2 linked regions of the Daphnia pulex genome follow. The protein of the gene in region 2 purifies or fractionates together with the protein of the main gene of each other region. This does not show direct contact. Links are inferred from orthologs where the notes say so. Each region holds a gene or a part of one and is shown on either strand. Other genes may lie near its edges.

Region 1 (3,754 bases), on a different chromosome or scaffold from region 2:
GACAGAATAACTTTTTAGTCCTAATTCACCTGCTATTATCACATAGGTATCCTTGTGGACTGAAATTTTGTCGCGGGCACGATCAGCAAACCGGTAAGGCCCTCAGCTATCGGTGCGGCATCAAAACGTGCAAAAAGTGCCTCGACTATTCATTTCCAGTGAAGAACTTTCTATTTTGTCCGTGGGATGACTATTAACCAAACACTTAAAATTCCTTTTCGGGAAAAATTGAAGTATTGATCAAAGTGCCTCGTGAAGCTTTTTAACTATTTTACAAGATAGAATCAAGAGCCAATTGTGCGTGTTCCAGTCTTCCAGCACTGTCCGTTGATGCACACATGTGTACACTTTCCTATCTGCTTTGTAATTTACTTACTTTTCCCCCATGGTTCCTTTTGCGTTGGAGAGAATATTAATTTGAAAAGCCAATTTTACTGCAAAAATAAAAAAAATTTCAATTCAACTCATTGTGTATAATAATCGCAAATTGATACGAAAATGGATCTAAATGGAATGACGAGCAAAAAAAGAAAAAGAAAATCTTTCTTTCACCGAAACTGAAACTTCTCTTTACAATCGATTCTTGCTTAATTTAGTGTTTTCTTTTTAATTAATCCAATATTTCCCCAAAATAACAGCGACAAACAGGCGCGTACAAGCTGTTTACACGAAGAAGGAGGGAGGAGTTGGCATTTTTTAAAAATAGTGATAGAAAAAAATCAACCCTTTCCAGCTGGAAAAAAATATTTCGGACCTAGATCAAACACGACACTATTTAGATTGTTTTTTTTTTTTTTCTTATTCTCTCGTGGGTGCAAGAATAGATACGGTTGGGGTAACAAATCGATCAATGCAGCTTGAGAGAGATAGGAAAAAAGAAAGAAAATTGGTAAATTTTTTTTTTTGTTTAACTTTTAGACTTTGGTTGGAGGCCAAGAAACGGGAAATAGGGAGAAAAGGGGAGGTTGCGAATTTTGTTGTTATTAAACGTTGGATCTCTTGAATTTTTTTTCCTTTTTTCTTAATCCATTAACAACATCCCGATTTCGACTGTTCCACTGGTCTTGAAGAAGAGTTGATGTTGATTCCGCCAACACCATCCGAAGGAGCGGAAGGAGGACCCATTCGATTCTTGATTTCAGCCGCCATAGTCATGAAGGCCTGTTCAACATTCGTAGCATTCTTTGCCGACGTCTCTAGGAAAGGGATACCTAACTGTTCCGCGTATTCCTTTTACAAAATCAAGAGAACGACGTCAAGTTTTAAATGAAATCTAAACCAGCTTCCTACTGTAAGTTATCTCACTTTGGCTGCGGCGTAATCGACGACCTTTTTGGTGCTCAGGTCACATTTGTTACCAACCAAGAGCTTGTTGACGTTTTCGCATGCATAGCGATCGATTTCCTGGAGCCACTGTTTCACATTGTTGAACGACTCTTGGTCAGTACAGTCGTAGACGACAATGATACCATGGGCACCTCGGTAGTAACTCGACGTAATTGTCCTGAATCGTTCTTGGCCAGCAGTGTCCCACTGTAGTCAAGAATATTTTAGTTACATTTGAAAAGGACCAATGCTATGAATGTGTCACTTACGATCTGTAGTTTGATTGTCTTTCCATCCAAATCTATTGTCCGAATTTTCTGCATATTGCAAATCAAATTAACATTATGGACTGAGTCTGACTGGTATGAGTTAATAAACTTACAAAATCAACACCGATGGTACTGATATAACTCTCTGAATAAGTATCATCCTGTATTAAAAGAGAAACATTGAATAGTAAAACAAATATTAATAAAATAAATGACCACCAGTTTCTGACTTACAGCGAATCGGAGCAAAAGGCAAGATTTGCCAACACCAGAATCACCAATAAGGAGAAGTTTGAAAAGATAATCACTGTAAAGAAAAAAGAAAAATAATACTGTTAAACCACTGATGACACCCAACTATTGTAAGCCATTGTTGGTAGGGTGGTATGGGGCATTTCCTTAACAGTGAAATCAGCCTTGAAAACATGTAGACTATAAAAATTTACAGAAATTACATTTTAAGAATTAAAAAAAAATAACCAAGAGCAAACAGCAAGTTGTTTAAAATGGCTGGAATTTGCATGGGATTAGCACTTACGAAAGCCCCCAAAAAGCTATACGTCATCATACTGAATCGTTCGAACGTTGATCTGAACGACGAAAAGGGTTTGGCACTTGTAACGATGTACTTACTATTCGGGGTTCATTTTGGACGTATATGATCACTTAATGTACTCGATCAAAATGAAATTTTGCGCGGAGATGTAATAGTGAACGAGACTGAATTAACGACGGACAGCAGCCCCTTTTTTCTCTGAATATGACGAACAGCAAACTCCTCTACGCCTCCTTGTGTTAAAAGTTGCTTAACCTAAGCAGTTATAATCGATACCATCCACTATCGATATAGAAGATTATAATCGATTTCGGTATGACTTTCACGTCGCTTTTCACGGAAAAATAAAAAATAATTATTTCGTTCACGATATATCAAGCTTCACGTGATCAGGAAAAAATTAAGTCATAATGAACTGTTGGTTGGGCGGACATCATTTGTAGAGGGAAAGAATCAAAGGTATTATTACGAAAAAAAAAGTGATGTTAATGTGATTTATTTCGCTTTTTCTACAATCGGCGGTGCAGCCGGTGCATATGATATAACAACACGTATTATTATTAATTACGTTTTACGTTGCAAGGGGATATATTCTGATACATTTATTGAGAGGTAAAAAGAAGATTCATAAGCCAATACATAGCTTTGCGAAGGAAACGGACAATGTACAAATTATAAACTTTTTAACCGAGCATCGCTTCGTCGCTAGAGCTTCGCGGTGGAAGTCCATCTGTCAACAAACGTCTCCTAAAAGAAAACAACAACAAAAACATCTCTTTTATAAAAAAATTTCCGAACACGATTAAAATTAATTGACATACCGCTCTTTTGCCATGCTGACTCGAATATTTTCTCGTTGGTGATAACGACATAACTTAAGAACTGCACAGACAGCCAATCCCACCCAACATGCCCAGGAGGCCCAAGCTCCAAACTATAAAATCAACTGATTATTATTATTCATCTCTTTAATGAAAATTAAAGGAAAAAAAACCTGTGCAGTTCCCAACAACAAGTAAAATCCAGAGGTGTTGATATTATCCACTTGGTCGATATTTTCATCTTCAGCATAACTGCATCTGTGATTTTATAAAAGTATGTGGTTGATATTTATTGTTATTATGAGACAAACTCTTTACTCTTCAAATCGTTGGGTTATGTCTCCGCACCAAGTGCCAAATCCAAGAGTGATAATCATGGCAGATGCTAAAGAAAGAAAACAGAGAAAGGCACTGCCAACAGCATCAACAAATGCTGACAAGAAAGAGCTGTAAATAATAAAGAGGTATTTTATTGCAAGTATGATGACCATATTTTAAAAGACTAACCTGTCAAGCCCTCTATAAAGGAAATGGCCAAGTCTGTGAATTTGAATACAACAAGCTGTAAGTGAGATCACTCCAGATATTATAACAAACACACAGTAAGCATTAGGAGCCCATGTGATCACAAACTGGCCTGCAATTCAATTCAAAACAAAAATCATTATAGTTTTGAATTTTTCGCTAATTACATTATTTAAGTTCAACCATCAGTTTCCCTCCAAGTTCCTCTGGAAAACAGCAAACAATGACCCCTGATTAAAAGAAAAACAAAATGTTTT
Region 2 (3,754 bases):
CGGCATTCATCCCCCCGACACACGAGCCGCGGTTTCATCATTTCGGTCGGAATCTTGTTTTTTGGATTTTGAGCCGGCACGGAGAACACCAGCTGCCATCTTTCGGCTGCCAACGCCGTTGCTGCTGAGAAGATCGTGACGAAATCCGGATGCGTTTTCACACAAACTCCTCGGCAGTAATTATTATCGGATTAGCTGCCTGCAAGTTGGCTGGCTAGTTAGGTGCCCACGAAAAGTGACCCATTATCGCTCTTACTACTGCAGAGATATGACCAATTTAGTTGCTGGTTTCACCGTTGCTTGAGCCAAATTGTGTTACACAACTTGTAACAAGATAAGCAAAATATTTGCTGACTTTCTACGGATTTTTTAAAAGGATCAGAAAATGGCCAAATATTTACACACATCTTTCGGTTGATATTAGTAGACTAGGCAACGGGGCTACCAGATGTAGAACGTGACTGATTTTTCCGCTTCAACATGTTTACATGTATAGAGTGAATTATTAAGCGCAGGTAAAAATAGGTGCTGATGTAATGCGTCAAACGATCCTGTCATACTGATATACTATTGCGATGTATGGAAATAAATGTTGATTCTTGGAAATCGAGTTTTCATTGCGGAATATAATTACAAATCAATTTTTCATTCGTCGGTAAAAAATTTCGATTTTCTTCCTACACGTCGGATGAAATGGACAAGCGTGTTGTCCATTACAGATTCATTTTTGATTCCCCAATTTAAACTTTGTTAGATTGAACCTGGTATAAGGTCCTGTTACATCCAAATAAGTTTTTTATCTGATTTATCTAGACTTATACCTTTATCTGAATCGAGTTCGAGGCGGATTTCCCCATCGGAATTTTTTAATTGGTAGGTATAAAGCTGCCACCTATCAATTGAAATTGAAACTAGCAAGGAAAACAACTATTTTTCCTTTGATAAAATAAAAATCGTCATTTATGTTTCATCGCAAATATCGGGTCAAATATTGCAACACATTTCTATCTACATTTTCCCATTGACACAAATTAATGTTGTCATAGTTACGATCCGGACGGGAAAGATAATTTTTTTTTAAGGGCTTATGTGTATGAATGTCCAGTGACGGACTGATTGACGAGGGTTATATTTACACAAGATAACAATTCTTTCGAAAGAAAATCGCCTAAACCTTTGCACTACCATAACTGTCATAATTTTCCCGTTTTTTTCTGTGCTTACGTTTACACAATTCACCAAATACGAATCGCGTACCGTGGGAAATACCTTCTGGTTTTTTTCATTTTTGAATTTTTTTACGCCACGTCGCAACTTGCAAGCAGCAGGCTTGTTGCCTTGACGACCAGGCAAAAATCGACGTTTTTACAGAGAGAACCCTACCTGCTTGCCAAAGATTATACGTGTACAAAAGTTCTTCTATACGTGTAAGAAGGCATAGACGAGCCTCCGAATGTCAACAAACTCATCAGCCAGAACGAAGTTACAACTGTAGTGCCCTTTTCATAGTTTAGTTTCCTTCTTCTTGAGTTCTTGAGTTTGTTTTTCGTTGTCTGCGACTGATGAGACGTCGAGCGTATTGCCACAAAGCCAGTATTATTCTTTCACAAGTGCACAGGTCAGATTACCTCCTCTACTTAACAAAGTAGCTCATTACTCTTCAAATAGATACAGTTCAGTTCTTTTGACTAGAATAATTTCCCCAAAAAAAGGATCAAGTCATTATTATTTCATTACATCCAAATGTCAAACTCAAAGTGTATTCATTTGGCATTTAATCATTCATAGTTTGGTGCTTTCTGGAGTGGTTGTTCTCACTTCTCACAGTTCTTTCTGGTTACAGGTTTTGATAGAAAAATGAATCGTGAAGGGGTTGTTCAAAGGAGGACTGCTCGTGTGGGGACTGGTGGCGGAGGACCTGTTGAGATATCGTCAGGTCCAGCTGATGTTGAAGACCGCCGTACAAGTAATGATACAGATGATATGGATGATTTGGATTCCAAAGAAACAAGACTCACCTTGATGGAAGAAGTGTTATTATTGGGCCTCAAAGATAAAGAGGTATACATAATATTTATTGTGTCATACTTGGTCCATTTCCCCCCTAAATTTAATTTTTTTAACTTTACAGGGCTATACTTCATTCTGGAATGATTGCATATCTAGTGGTCTTCGTGGATGCATATTGATTGAGTTAGGCCTACGTGGTAGAGTTGAACTAGAGAAAGGAGGAATGAGGAAACGATCCCTATTGGGGAGAAAAATTCTACTCAAGAATGACTCACCTACTGGAGATGTTCTCCTAGATGAGGCACTCAAGCATGTCAAGGAAACAGATCCCCCTGAGACGGTACAGAATTGGATAGAATACCTCAGTGGTGAGTGTCATTTGTTTAATCCTCCAACTTTAGAATTTTTCATTGATTTTCAAATATTTTTACAGGAGAAACATGGAATCCCTTGAAACTAAGATATCAACTGAAAAACGTCCGGGAACGCCTGGCCAAAAATTTGGTGGAGAAGGGAGTATTAACGACAGAGAAACAGAATTTTCTCTTGTTTGATATGACCACTCATCCTCTCACGGACAATATCATGAAAACTCGTCTTGTCAAAAAGGTGTGACGTCTTCACATTCTCAAAGCCAGCCATATCATTAAACCTTTTGTTCCTTTGACCAAACCATCTACAGGTACAAGAAGCAGTCTTATCCAAGTGGGTAAACGACGCTCATCGAATGGACAAACGCATGCTGTCACTCATCTTCCTGGCTCACGCCTCTGACGTGTTAGAGAATGCCTTTGCCCCATTAAACGACGACGACTACGAGCTGGCCATGAAACGGGTTCGTGAACTCCTCTACCTTGACTTGGACAACGAGAGTGCAAAACCTGGAACCAATGAGTTGATGTGGGCTGTTTTTGCTTCCTTTACCAAATGATAACGTTATTATTGTTACTAATATTGTATTGCTATCCCTTTCGTACACTCCTATCCCTTCCCATATCATTTATTTTTCTTATTTTCTTTGCCTATCCCCTTTCTTTTGATCCTTATTTAGTTTCTTTCTTTTTTTGTTCCGCGTCTCCATTATTTTTCCCGTTTTTTAAGCTACTGGCCATCGAAAAAAATAACCCTACCTTTGTATACCTACATAGCTGCAGCCAGGCTAGATTTTCCAATTCATTCCTTCTTTCAAACCATTTTTCAGTTATTACTAGCCCCTCCTTCTTTTTTTAACAATATTTAGAATATCCTACGAGTGTTATTAATTTTCTCCATTTTGAGTGTGCGTTGGGAAGCCTCGATTTATCTAAAAATCATTTCCAAAATTACCGATCACGCTCACAGTGCACTTGTTTCCTCTTTAATTCAAGTTTTCTTTAAATGGTGAAAGGGAAAATATTCATTTAACGAAACCACTATTATTATTATATAGCGAACTCTCATGATTTAACGTGGGTTGAAACGTGGAGGAAAGTGGGCAGAGGAGAGAGACGTTTTTGTTACAATTCTGGGGAAATCCCGTTGTGGTATGTATTGTAAATATACCTTCCATCGGGAGCGCAGCGCGCCATCTTTAAAAATACAACAATATAAATGAAATGAAAAATATGTAACCTGCAAACTGTGAAATGATTTGCGGATTGCGACCCTCAAAAATTCATTTGGATATGTGTGTTTAACAACTCCCTTTAATCGGCTAATGCTATATATTAGGTACTATATTATGTGGGAGAACGTGTATAACATG

Evidence for each region. The genes of interacting proteins can lie anywhere in the genome.
Region 1: the proteins of Golgi phosphoprotein 3 homolog sauron-like (region 2) and ras-related protein Rab-1A purify together in Drosophila melanogaster (affinity purification with western blotting; 3 studies listed by BioGRID, with this or other methods). This does not show direct contact. The link is inferred for Daphnia pulex from reciprocal best matches to the Drosophila melanogaster genes sau and Rab1.

What each region holds. Positions count from the first base shown.
Region 1 is NC_060025.1:1,302,568-1,306,321, reverse strand, and holds ras-related protein Rab-1A, read right to left. Parts: upstream 2,431-3,754; 5' UTR 2,243-2,430; coding exon 2,229-2,242; intron 1,903-2,228; coding exon 1,830-1,902; intron 1,757-1,829; coding exon 1,709-1,756; intron 1,644-1,708; coding exon 1,596-1,643; intron 1,534-1,595; coding exon 1,306-1,533; intron 1,231-1,305; coding exon 1,030-1,230; 3' UTR 453-1,029; downstream 1-452. Other genes in the region: out at first protein-like, read left to right, coding at 47-197; transmembrane protein 179-like, read right to left, coding at 2,835-2,898, 2,973-3,085, 3,146-3,230, 3,291-3,419, 3,480-3,609, 3,681-3,727.
Region 2 is NC_060019.1:8,788,765-8,792,518, reverse strand, and holds the start of Golgi phosphoprotein 3 homolog sauron-like, read left to right. Parts: upstream 1-945; 5' UTR 946-1,618; intron 1,619-1,843; 5' UTR 1,844-1,857; coding exon 1,858-2,061; intron 2,062-2,131; coding exon 2,132-2,378; intron 2,379-2,443; coding exon 2,444-2,619; intron 2,620-2,692; coding exon 2,693-2,941; 3' UTR 2,942-3,754. UniProt on the Drosophila melanogaster protein: Phosphatidylinositol-4-phosphate-binding protein that links Golgi membranes to the cytoskeleton and may participate in the tensile force required for vesicle budding from the Golgi.